2 linked regions of the Caenorhabditis elegans genome follow. The protein of the gene in region 2 interacts with the protein of the main gene of each other region in a pairwise test. Each region holds a gene or a part of one and is shown on either strand. Other genes may lie near its edges. The genes, in order: gla-3 and W03F9.2.

What was found.
Region 1: the proteins of W03F9.2 (region 2) and gla-3 interact in a two-hybrid assay, tested with the Caenorhabditis elegans proteins (2 studies listed by BioGRID).

What each region holds. Positions count from the first base shown.
Region 1 is NC_003279.8:8,213,044-8,218,302, reverse strand, and holds gla-3 (C3H1-type domain-containing protein), read right to left. Parts: upstream 3,606-5,259; coding exon 3,555-3,605; intron 3,510-3,554; coding exon 3,348-3,509; intron 3,274-3,347; coding exon of another isoform or gene 3,268-3,273; coding exon 3,175-3,267; intron 3,129-3,174; coding exon 2,793-3,128; intron 2,736-2,792; coding exon 2,615-2,735; intron 2,269-2,614; coding exon 1,916-2,268; intron 1,841-1,915; coding exon 1,765-1,840; intron 1,705-1,764; coding exon 1,246-1,704; intron 1,174-1,245; coding exon 925-1,173; intron 870-924; coding exon 730-869; downstream 1-729. Other genes in the region: Protein dhs-3, read left to right, coding at 16-288, 4,120-4,237, 5,028-5,101, 5,147-5,242.
Region 2 is NC_003283.11:126,500-130,028, forward strand, and holds W03F9.2 (C2H2-type domain-containing protein), read right to left. Parts: upstream 1,536-3,529; 5' UTR 1,453-1,535; coding exon 1,396-1,452; intron 1,354-1,395; exon of another isoform or gene 1,340-1,353; coding exon 1,282-1,339; intron 1,232-1,281; coding exon 969-1,231; intron 923-968; coding exon 590-922; 3' UTR 501-589; downstream 1-500. Other genes in the region: W03F9.1 (Zinc finger protein ZPR1 homolog), read right to left, coding at 1-79, 130-150; sftb-2 (PSP proline-rich domain-containing protein), read left to right, coding at 1,738-2,028, 2,077-2,854.

The sequences.
Region 1 (5,259 bases), on a different chromosome or scaffold from region 2:
TTGTGGTGACTCTACATGCCATATGTCTTCTTATTATCTCCACAATTAGAAATTGCTTCCCAATGGGATGGCTACTACGAAAAGACGTTCGAGGTATCGGATCACGTACACAAGGAAATAATATTAAAAGTTTCAGGACAAACTGTGCTGATCACTGGCTCCGGAAGTGGATTAGGCCGATTGATGGCCTTCGAGTTCGGAAAACTCGGTGCAAGATTAGTGTTATGGGATATAAACGAGCAAGGAAACAAAGAAACACTCAAAGAATTGGAAGCGATGGGAGTTGAGGTTTGGACTTGCAACATTTTTCACATTTATAGATTTATTAGATGAATGTTCGCTAAAACTTACTACAACTACAGCTAACTATTACTATTACAAAGCTAGTGTCAAGAGCGGCGCGGGCTCGTTAGAAATAATGAAAACAAGTGTAAATGGAACAAAAAGTGAAGAAAAATACAAAATTTAAATTATGAATATCGTACTTTTGTGGATGGTATCCGTATCACTTGAGGAAAACAAGATTATGTGGGTGGGAAAAAGCTGGAAGTATCCATATCCTCTACAAGAAACCCTAAATACATACAAAAAACTAAAGAAGAGCTGCGAGTAGAACAAAAATTACGATGAAAAAGGACAAAATGATAAAGTATAAAATTTAGAAACTGAATTGGGTGAGAAATGAGAAAATGATTACAATAATGGGCTTTAAAATCATCGCTGGTCCTCCTAAATCGAGTGACTCTGATGACAGGCGTCACCGAAGGGGCACGATCCGGTGGCTGCAAAAAAATCGCAAGGTTCCAGGAATGAAGGCGTCTGGCCGGCCGATGATGACGGAGTGAAAAGGCTTTTCGATCCTGAGCCGTCTAAAAAATAGCCGATATATTGGAGGTTCTACTCAAATACTAAAAAAAATTTTACCGTAGTTTGGTGTCTTTTCATCTACGAAAAAGAACATTGGAGAGCAGGTCATCTTGCTTGATGTTGTAGTTGAACATTCGGAAGATTGCAGTGGCTCCTTGAGAGTTTCGGCGATTTTTAGAGTATCAAAATCGAACATAGAACACTTTGGTTTTTCGGTTGCTACTTGATCGAGCAGATTCTCGTTGCTCAATAGTTCCATCAAAGACATCACGACAGGACTTGAGCTTTCGCTGGAGCTTAGTTTATCTGAAATTGATGGATATTCAGAACTATAAATTTTTATAGAAATTTTTCGAGTAAATTAACCAATAAACATACCATCTCGATCGCCTTGTCTCACAAAATCATTAGCCATCATCATTTCCTCGTCTGTAATTGGATACTTGTCTGATCGAAGAGCATCCATTTTTGTGAGCAGACTTGCCGCAGAACTCGATTCGTTGATCGTCGCAGCTCCGCGAGTTCGTGTCATGGCTCCGGACTGTTTTTTCGGCTTCGGCTCGAGCCAAATCGAAAACGAGTCATCAGGTGGGAGCAAGGACTCCGAGATCTCCGGTGGTGAGAGAAGAGCCGCAAACGGATGTTGAGGTCCCTGTTGATGCGAATAACGGTATTGCTGAGCAGCATGATGCAGATATTGCTGATGCTGGTGTAGCTGATGTTGTGACTGATGATGATGATGGATTGGATGTTGATGTGGGGGACGATGACGTCCTGGCATGAAATTTGATAAACGATTTCCAGTTCCATGGTAATGACAGTCCGAAGTATTTGGTTCTAAAATGTATGCAATAGTTCGATCAATTTTCCTATTTATTTGGTTGATTTCAATCTTACCGTTTCCTGCAAGTCGTGGATGGTATGGTGGGGTCATAGGAGCATTGAAGTGATGACCATTACTCATTTGATCACTCTGAACAAAAATTGTTTGAATTTTTTTAAATCTAAAAGAAATTGTGAAAAAAGAAAAACCTGAGACACCACTCACCGAAGTTTGCCTAGACACGTCACGCTCGTTGATATATCCTCGCTCTATCATAAAACGAAGGTAGTTCAAATCTTTCATTTTCAGTTTAGACAAAAGTCGATCCATTTCCGAATTTTTCTGTTGAGTCGGTTGACGATCATTGGGTCCAACTCTCTGTCCGCCTATCTCTATGTCCTTCTGACGTTGATAGATTTCACCAGCAACATTCCAAATCGCTTGTTGAAATTGCGGAGGGGGACCGCCGACCTCTCGTGAAGTACGAACATTGGATCTTGATCTTTGGTGCTGTGGTGGGATATGGTATGCTCCAGATCCCAAACGATTCGGATCTTGACCAGGGATGTTGACTGGCCCTGTAACAATGAATTTTGATTTAAAAAATCTCTGAAGAAAAACTTGTCGTAATTTCACTAGAATTTGACATGTTTTCTTGAAGGCGCACGGATTCATTCAGGGTCTCGACGTATAAAAAGTTTATGATAGTCTTTTTTAATTTATACTCCAAAAACTGATTTAAACTAATTTTAGCAAAAAAAATGAATAGAAAACGATAAAGATTGATAAAAACTAAGTCATTGTTTTGAAAAATTCAAGAAAACGAGAAATCAGCCGCAACAATTCAAAAAGACTACCATAAAAATTTCAGCGGGCTGAGACTCATTTCATTAAATTCGAGAAAACCTCGTGAAATCTCTATACCTCCAAATTGTTGAGAAGGAACCCCTTGCGTAGCACGATTCGAGGAACGTTGATGGTGTCCATGAGATGGAAATCCAGCTGAGAACATTGACTGTTGCGGGTATGGGAACGGATTCGGAGACTGAAAACAAGTTGTTCAGTTTCAACCGAAAGTTATTCTTGAAGTTACAAAACTAACCAAAAATCCGTAATCGTCAATATCATCGTCACGAGAACATATTTCATGCTTCTTTTCCTGTTCTTGCTCGACACCGTTTTTAGATAATGATGAAATCGCATCCTTCTCTGCAGCTGAGCTGGTTGGTGGTGGTACAGCTCCAATTGACATGGAAATCCATCTTTCCTGAGCTGGAGATAACGGCATCGAAGAGTTTTGTTCTTTGAAGGCAGTATTCGATGGAATATTCACTGTTAATCCTTTGACGTTGGTTGATGCACGCTTTGTCGGCGACTTTTGAATTTCAGCAGTAGCCGGTCGCTCATTCTCTTCTTCGTTCGAACGATCAATCCGGACCTGAAAAACCAGATTTCTTTGATGTTTCCTACGCTGCTTAACTGACCACTTTACGAAGATCGTCTTCACCGTGAGCATACCAGCACGCGTCGCCATACGAACAGCTGCCCGAGCGTCGCCAGTGATCGCAAATCTTTGTCTGAAACTACAAGGAATGAGTAGATCTTAATTAAAATATTGAAGTGTTAAGAAATTAAAACGTTTTTCCAAAAATAGAACCTTCCTTAATGCGGGGTTATGCTCTCGATTGGAGGTAAAATTTTGATGTTGCCAAAAACATTGAGAAGAATCTTGATACACCGTGTAGTTCCCTAGACTTTCTAAATTTCTGACTGGATCCATATCTGAGTTCAATAGAGGCTGAGGTTGAAAAGAAAACCCCTGAATTTTATTATAAACCAAAAATACACTTTTTCCGAAAATTACCGGCGGAGCAGGAGTAAGTCGACTTTTTAACAAAGATGGTTGATAAAGCATGGTTGGGTGAGTAGGATGGAGAAAATAAAATGTTTTATTAAACACTAATTTCTAGTTATTTTTTTAGCTTTAGTTTTTTCCTCTACCCCCTTCTGCTCTAGTTTCTCACGAACTACCGCTTTTCTGATCTTACTTTCGGTTTTGGGCCGTTTGGTTTATTGCCGTTGGTGCTGTTTGTAAGCGCATCACGGGGATCTATGACGACGCTGAAAATTTTGTTTTTAGCAATTAGTTATTCATACGAAGAATATACCTTATTTCCTGAGTTTTTGACGCAGAGCTACTCATCTATTTACAGAAAAATACGATTTAGAATCTGAAAATGGCTTTTTTAAAAATATTTTACTCAAAAATGGGAAACAAAGAGAAGTTGAATAAATTTAGGTAAGCAAATGAGAAAAAGTACAAATTCAAATGACACGCTAAACAACGCGCGATCGTCATTTCGGAGTGTCGTTGTGCGTTTCTCTGCGTCTCTGCGATTTGTATACTGTTTCATTTCTATATCTTTCAGGCTAAAGCATACACAGTGGACCTATCGGAATACAAAGAAATCAATAGAACCGCCGATTTGGTTAAAAGTGAAGTAGGGAAAGTAGATATTCTCGTGAACAACGCTGGAATTGTGACGGGTAAGTACAGTCGGCTGAAAACATCCAAACTTCTGAAAAATTCATGTACAATACAAAAACACAGTAAATAATAATTTTGTTCCTTATAGAGTTAATTTTTTCCTGTAGAAGACACGAGACCCGAAGAACTCGGGGGATGTCCAATTGGGGGGATTACCAACTCGGGGATTGGCCCCGCCCACAGAACCGTGGCTTGCAATACGCCCATTTCTGCAACTGCCGCACGGTTTTGAAACTGTATTTTTCTTGTTAAATCTCGCTCTATTGAGAAAAATACAGTTTCGAAACCGTGCGGCAGTTGCAGAAATGGGCGTATTGCAAGCCACGGTTCTGTGGGCGGGGCCAATCCCCGAGTTGGTAATCCCCCCAATTGGACATCCCCCGAGTTCTTCGGGTCTCGAAGACACAATGAAGAGTCGCAATACACATGGTATTAATTAAATGAATTTGAATGGCGCGGCGGGACCCACTGGCAAAAAAGCACATCCCTTGCTAATTGCATACTGTAGAGATTTAGAAACATACGAAGTTTAGCGTATTACATATTTTTCATTTTAAGCGAAATATGCCAGATAAAGAGAGAAAACAAAAATCAATAAAATAAATAAAATGATAAGACTTTCGAAAAGGTTCAGTGAACCCATTGTTACTTCACACAAAAATTACAGTAGTAATTTGAAGAATTACTGTAGTTTTCGCTACGAGATATTTTGCGCGTCTGATATGTTGCGCAATACGCATTCTCAGAAATTAGTATTCCCATAATATCTTTTCATAAAAACATTTCAAGGAAAAAAGTTGCTGCAATGTCCAGATGAGCTGATGGTCAAGACTGTTTCAGTTAACACAAATGCTTTGTTCTTTGTAAGATATGACTTTTGTTGAAAAGAGAATACCGAAATTTTCCAGACTACCAAAAATTTCCTTCCCGGCATGCTCGAGTCGAATAAAGGGCATATTGTAACAATTGCTTCAATGGCTGGAAAGTGTGGTGTTGCTGGATTGGTAAGTGATTTAAAACA
Region 2 (3,529 bases):
CTTCTTCGCACACCGGGCAGACACTATCAACAACAATTGGAGCAGCCTCATAGTCATCTGCTGACAAGTTTCTGTAGATCTGAAAAATATTTAGGAAATTGTGCCGTAAATTCTAGCAAAAACACTTACATCTTGAGAATCCGCAGCCATTTTACTTTAAAAAATGAATTTGTTGATTAAAATCGAAAATTATCTGCTTTAAAGTATTAATTTTAGAGAGAAATCTGGAAAAAACTGGAAAAATCTGGAAAAGAAAAACAAAAAAAATTCAAGTCTGCAAAGTTGCGTGACGGTGTTTGCGGACAAACGCCTGCGCCTCTTCATTTCGCGTTGTGCCTCGCGGTTTTTAATTATAAAATTTTTTAATAATTAGAATTCAGTACACATTCTTGTAAAGCCTTCCTATCTTGTGTCACTGAAGCTTTTTCGCAAAAAAAGCGCTTCCAAAGTAGCAGAAGAAACTGAGAAAAATGAATAAAACATTAAATGTCTGCGCTAAAATCTGTATTTTATTTTTATTTCAAAAAACGAATAAAAATCTTGTGATGAAGTTTTATTGACGGAAAATCGAATGAATATTTCATTTTTATCAAATTCCAACAGTATCTTGTTGCTCGTAGTCGTAGTTTCGGGATTCCAGAGACAGAAGTGCTGGATTGCCGGGCTTTTGAGCATTTGTAACCGATTTTTCTTGTGGCGGCGCTTCTTTTTCAGTTTCTGTGTGTTTTGAGATCATTTCATGGCGAAGACAGCATGGAAGATGCACTTTCACAGCTTTAAACTTGATTTTTTGAAGTTTTTCAATCATTTTCAGCCCATTTTCAAGTCGTTCTTTCGAAATTCCGAGTTGCTCGGTGGTTTTTGCATTTTCCAGACATTCGATCAACTGATTTTCCTTTGCAAAATCCGTCTGTTTGATGAGCTAAAAATTAATTAAATAAAATATAAAACGCAATACTAAATTTCACCTGAAAACTGCCAGGTTTGCCACCATGAAAATGTTCCAGGTGGTGCTTTCCTTCATCTTCGGTGTGAAAATTCAAGTTCCGGCATCCAGAGCATCGAAACGGGCGGTATATTATATGAGTCTGGAGCATGTGGAACTCGTATGCCGCCCATGTTGACCAGGCCACGGAGCAGGTTTCGCAGACAGGCCTTGGAGCATTTTCGGGAATCGATTCCCCGTAGGAGTCTGGATTGAATTCGGGAACTGATGAAGTTGGGAGTTTTCCTGAAGGTTAAAAAAAATTAATTTCACAAATAATATTTATAAATAATCACGTTTTAATGCAGAAGCTGGCTGAACAACTCGGATGGTGCACTGGCGTTGAGGGGAGCTCTGAAAAAAGAAATCTATAAAAAATGGCAGTATTTCTCAGCTTATTTGCAACTCACGAGAGTGACTAGATAATCGTCATGGTCTTGGGCTCCTGATGTAGATGGCTCTGTCATTTCAACCTGAATTTTCTGTTTTTAATCTTTTTAAAGCATTATAAAGCTTTAAAAAAATTTAAAAAAAAAAGAGAAAATTCAATGATAAAACAGTGTGCAAAAATGAGAGACGGAGAGTATTTGGCGTCGGTTTCAGTGTTTGGTACGCAAACACCGACCCATTGCGTACTCTTCGAATTAAATTTTTTTTGCGAATTTTTAGATTTTTCAACGTTTTTGCGGTTAAAAACCTCTTTTCCTCATTGAAAACTTTTCAATTTTCAACTAAATGTTTTCCTTTTTCAGATGTCAGGCGAGGATGACTACAATTCAGACGATGAGGCTAACAAGAACCTATCTAAAAAGGAGCTTCAGGAGTTGAAGAGAAAACAGCAGAAAAGCAAAAAGAAGAAGGAATCGAAGAAGAGAGCAAAAGCCACGAAGCAAGCTGAAATAGAAACACGAGAGGAGCCGAAAAAAGAGGAGGAAAATGGTGACGATCTTGACGTGGAAATCGATTATATCGGTGAAACAATTGAAATTGAGCCGGATAACCCGCACGCTCAATACTTTTCCGCAATTTTTGATGCTTTTAAGGTAACATATCACTATTTGTTAATGTTTTTCCAATATATCGGCTTCCAGATCTCCACCGACTCAGAAGACGGCTTCTCCTACGGCCATCACGTTTCCAAAGGCGAGAAAAAGGATGATTTGGGAAAAGTCGGTCAGGCCGAGCGAATTATTCAAGAGGAGATGGAAGAACGTGCCAAAGAAAACACAGAGGAGAAGCTTTCGCGTAGAAAACTCCGAATTTCTCTTCAACCGAGTATTGCAAAGCTTAAAGAGACGACACTTCGAGCCGATGTTGTTGAATGGGCCGATGTGACTTCTCGTGATCCGTATCTCCTTGTCGCAATGAAATCTTATAGAAATTCAGTTCCAGTTCCACGCCATTGGAATGCAAAGCGTAAATATCTCGCCGGAAAGCGAGGATTCGAACGGCCACCATTTGAGTTGCCAGATTTTATTAAAAGAACCGGAATTCAGGATATGAGAGAAGCGCTGCTGGAAAAAGAAGAAAGCCAGAGCCTTAAATCAAAAATGAGAGAGCGGGCCCGCCCGAAGCTTGGAAAAATCGATATTGATTATCAAAAACTTCACGACGCGTTCTTCAAATGGCAAACCAAGCCGGCTATGACAAAAATGGGCGAGCTCTACTATGAAGGAAAAGAGATGGAGGCGATGATGAGAGACAAGAAGCCGGGTGAAATGTCGGATGAGCTTAGAATTGCACTGGGAATGCCCATCGGATCGAATGCGTTCAAGTTTCCACCGCCATGGTTGATTGCGATGCAACGTTACGGACCACCGCCCAGTTTTCCGCATATTAAGATTCCTGGATTGAATGCGCCGATTCCTGGTACGGTAAAATGTTCTGGATGTACTATTTTAGAGCAGAAATCTAAAAAACATTATGAAAAATTTTACATTTCAACATAAAATTACCAAAAACCTAGAAAATTGCCTGCTAAATTTCATTTTCAACGTAAAATTAACAAATCTGTGAATTTTTGCACCTGTACCGACCACAAGAACTGAGATCGTGGCGAGACCCGCTTTAAGCGCCAAATTTTTGCAAAATGATAAATAATTTTCTTTTGATAAAAAATTTTCTTCGCATAATTTAACACACAAATATTCATAAATTCTGCCAAAAAAAATTATTATGAAATTTTCAGATATTTTTTTCGCAAAAACATGTTATCCTGAAAGAAATTAAGACAAACTTGACAATTTTATGTTCAGTAAATACATTTTACGAAAAAAAAATGTCTGAAAATTCAGAAAAAATTTGGTTTTGGTTGAAAAAATTATGAAATCAAATTTAGAAAAATAAAAAATAACTTCTTTCACGATTTTCAAGCAAAAAATACGATACTGGGTCTCGACACGACAAATTAATGTTTAATGCGAGGTGCTATATTTTGATCAATTTTTCCAAATTTATCAATTAAAAACTCAAAAAAAAAACAAGTTTTGGTAAATTTTGGGAGATGCCACATTGAAAAGTTGGTTAAATTTTCAATTTTAACGG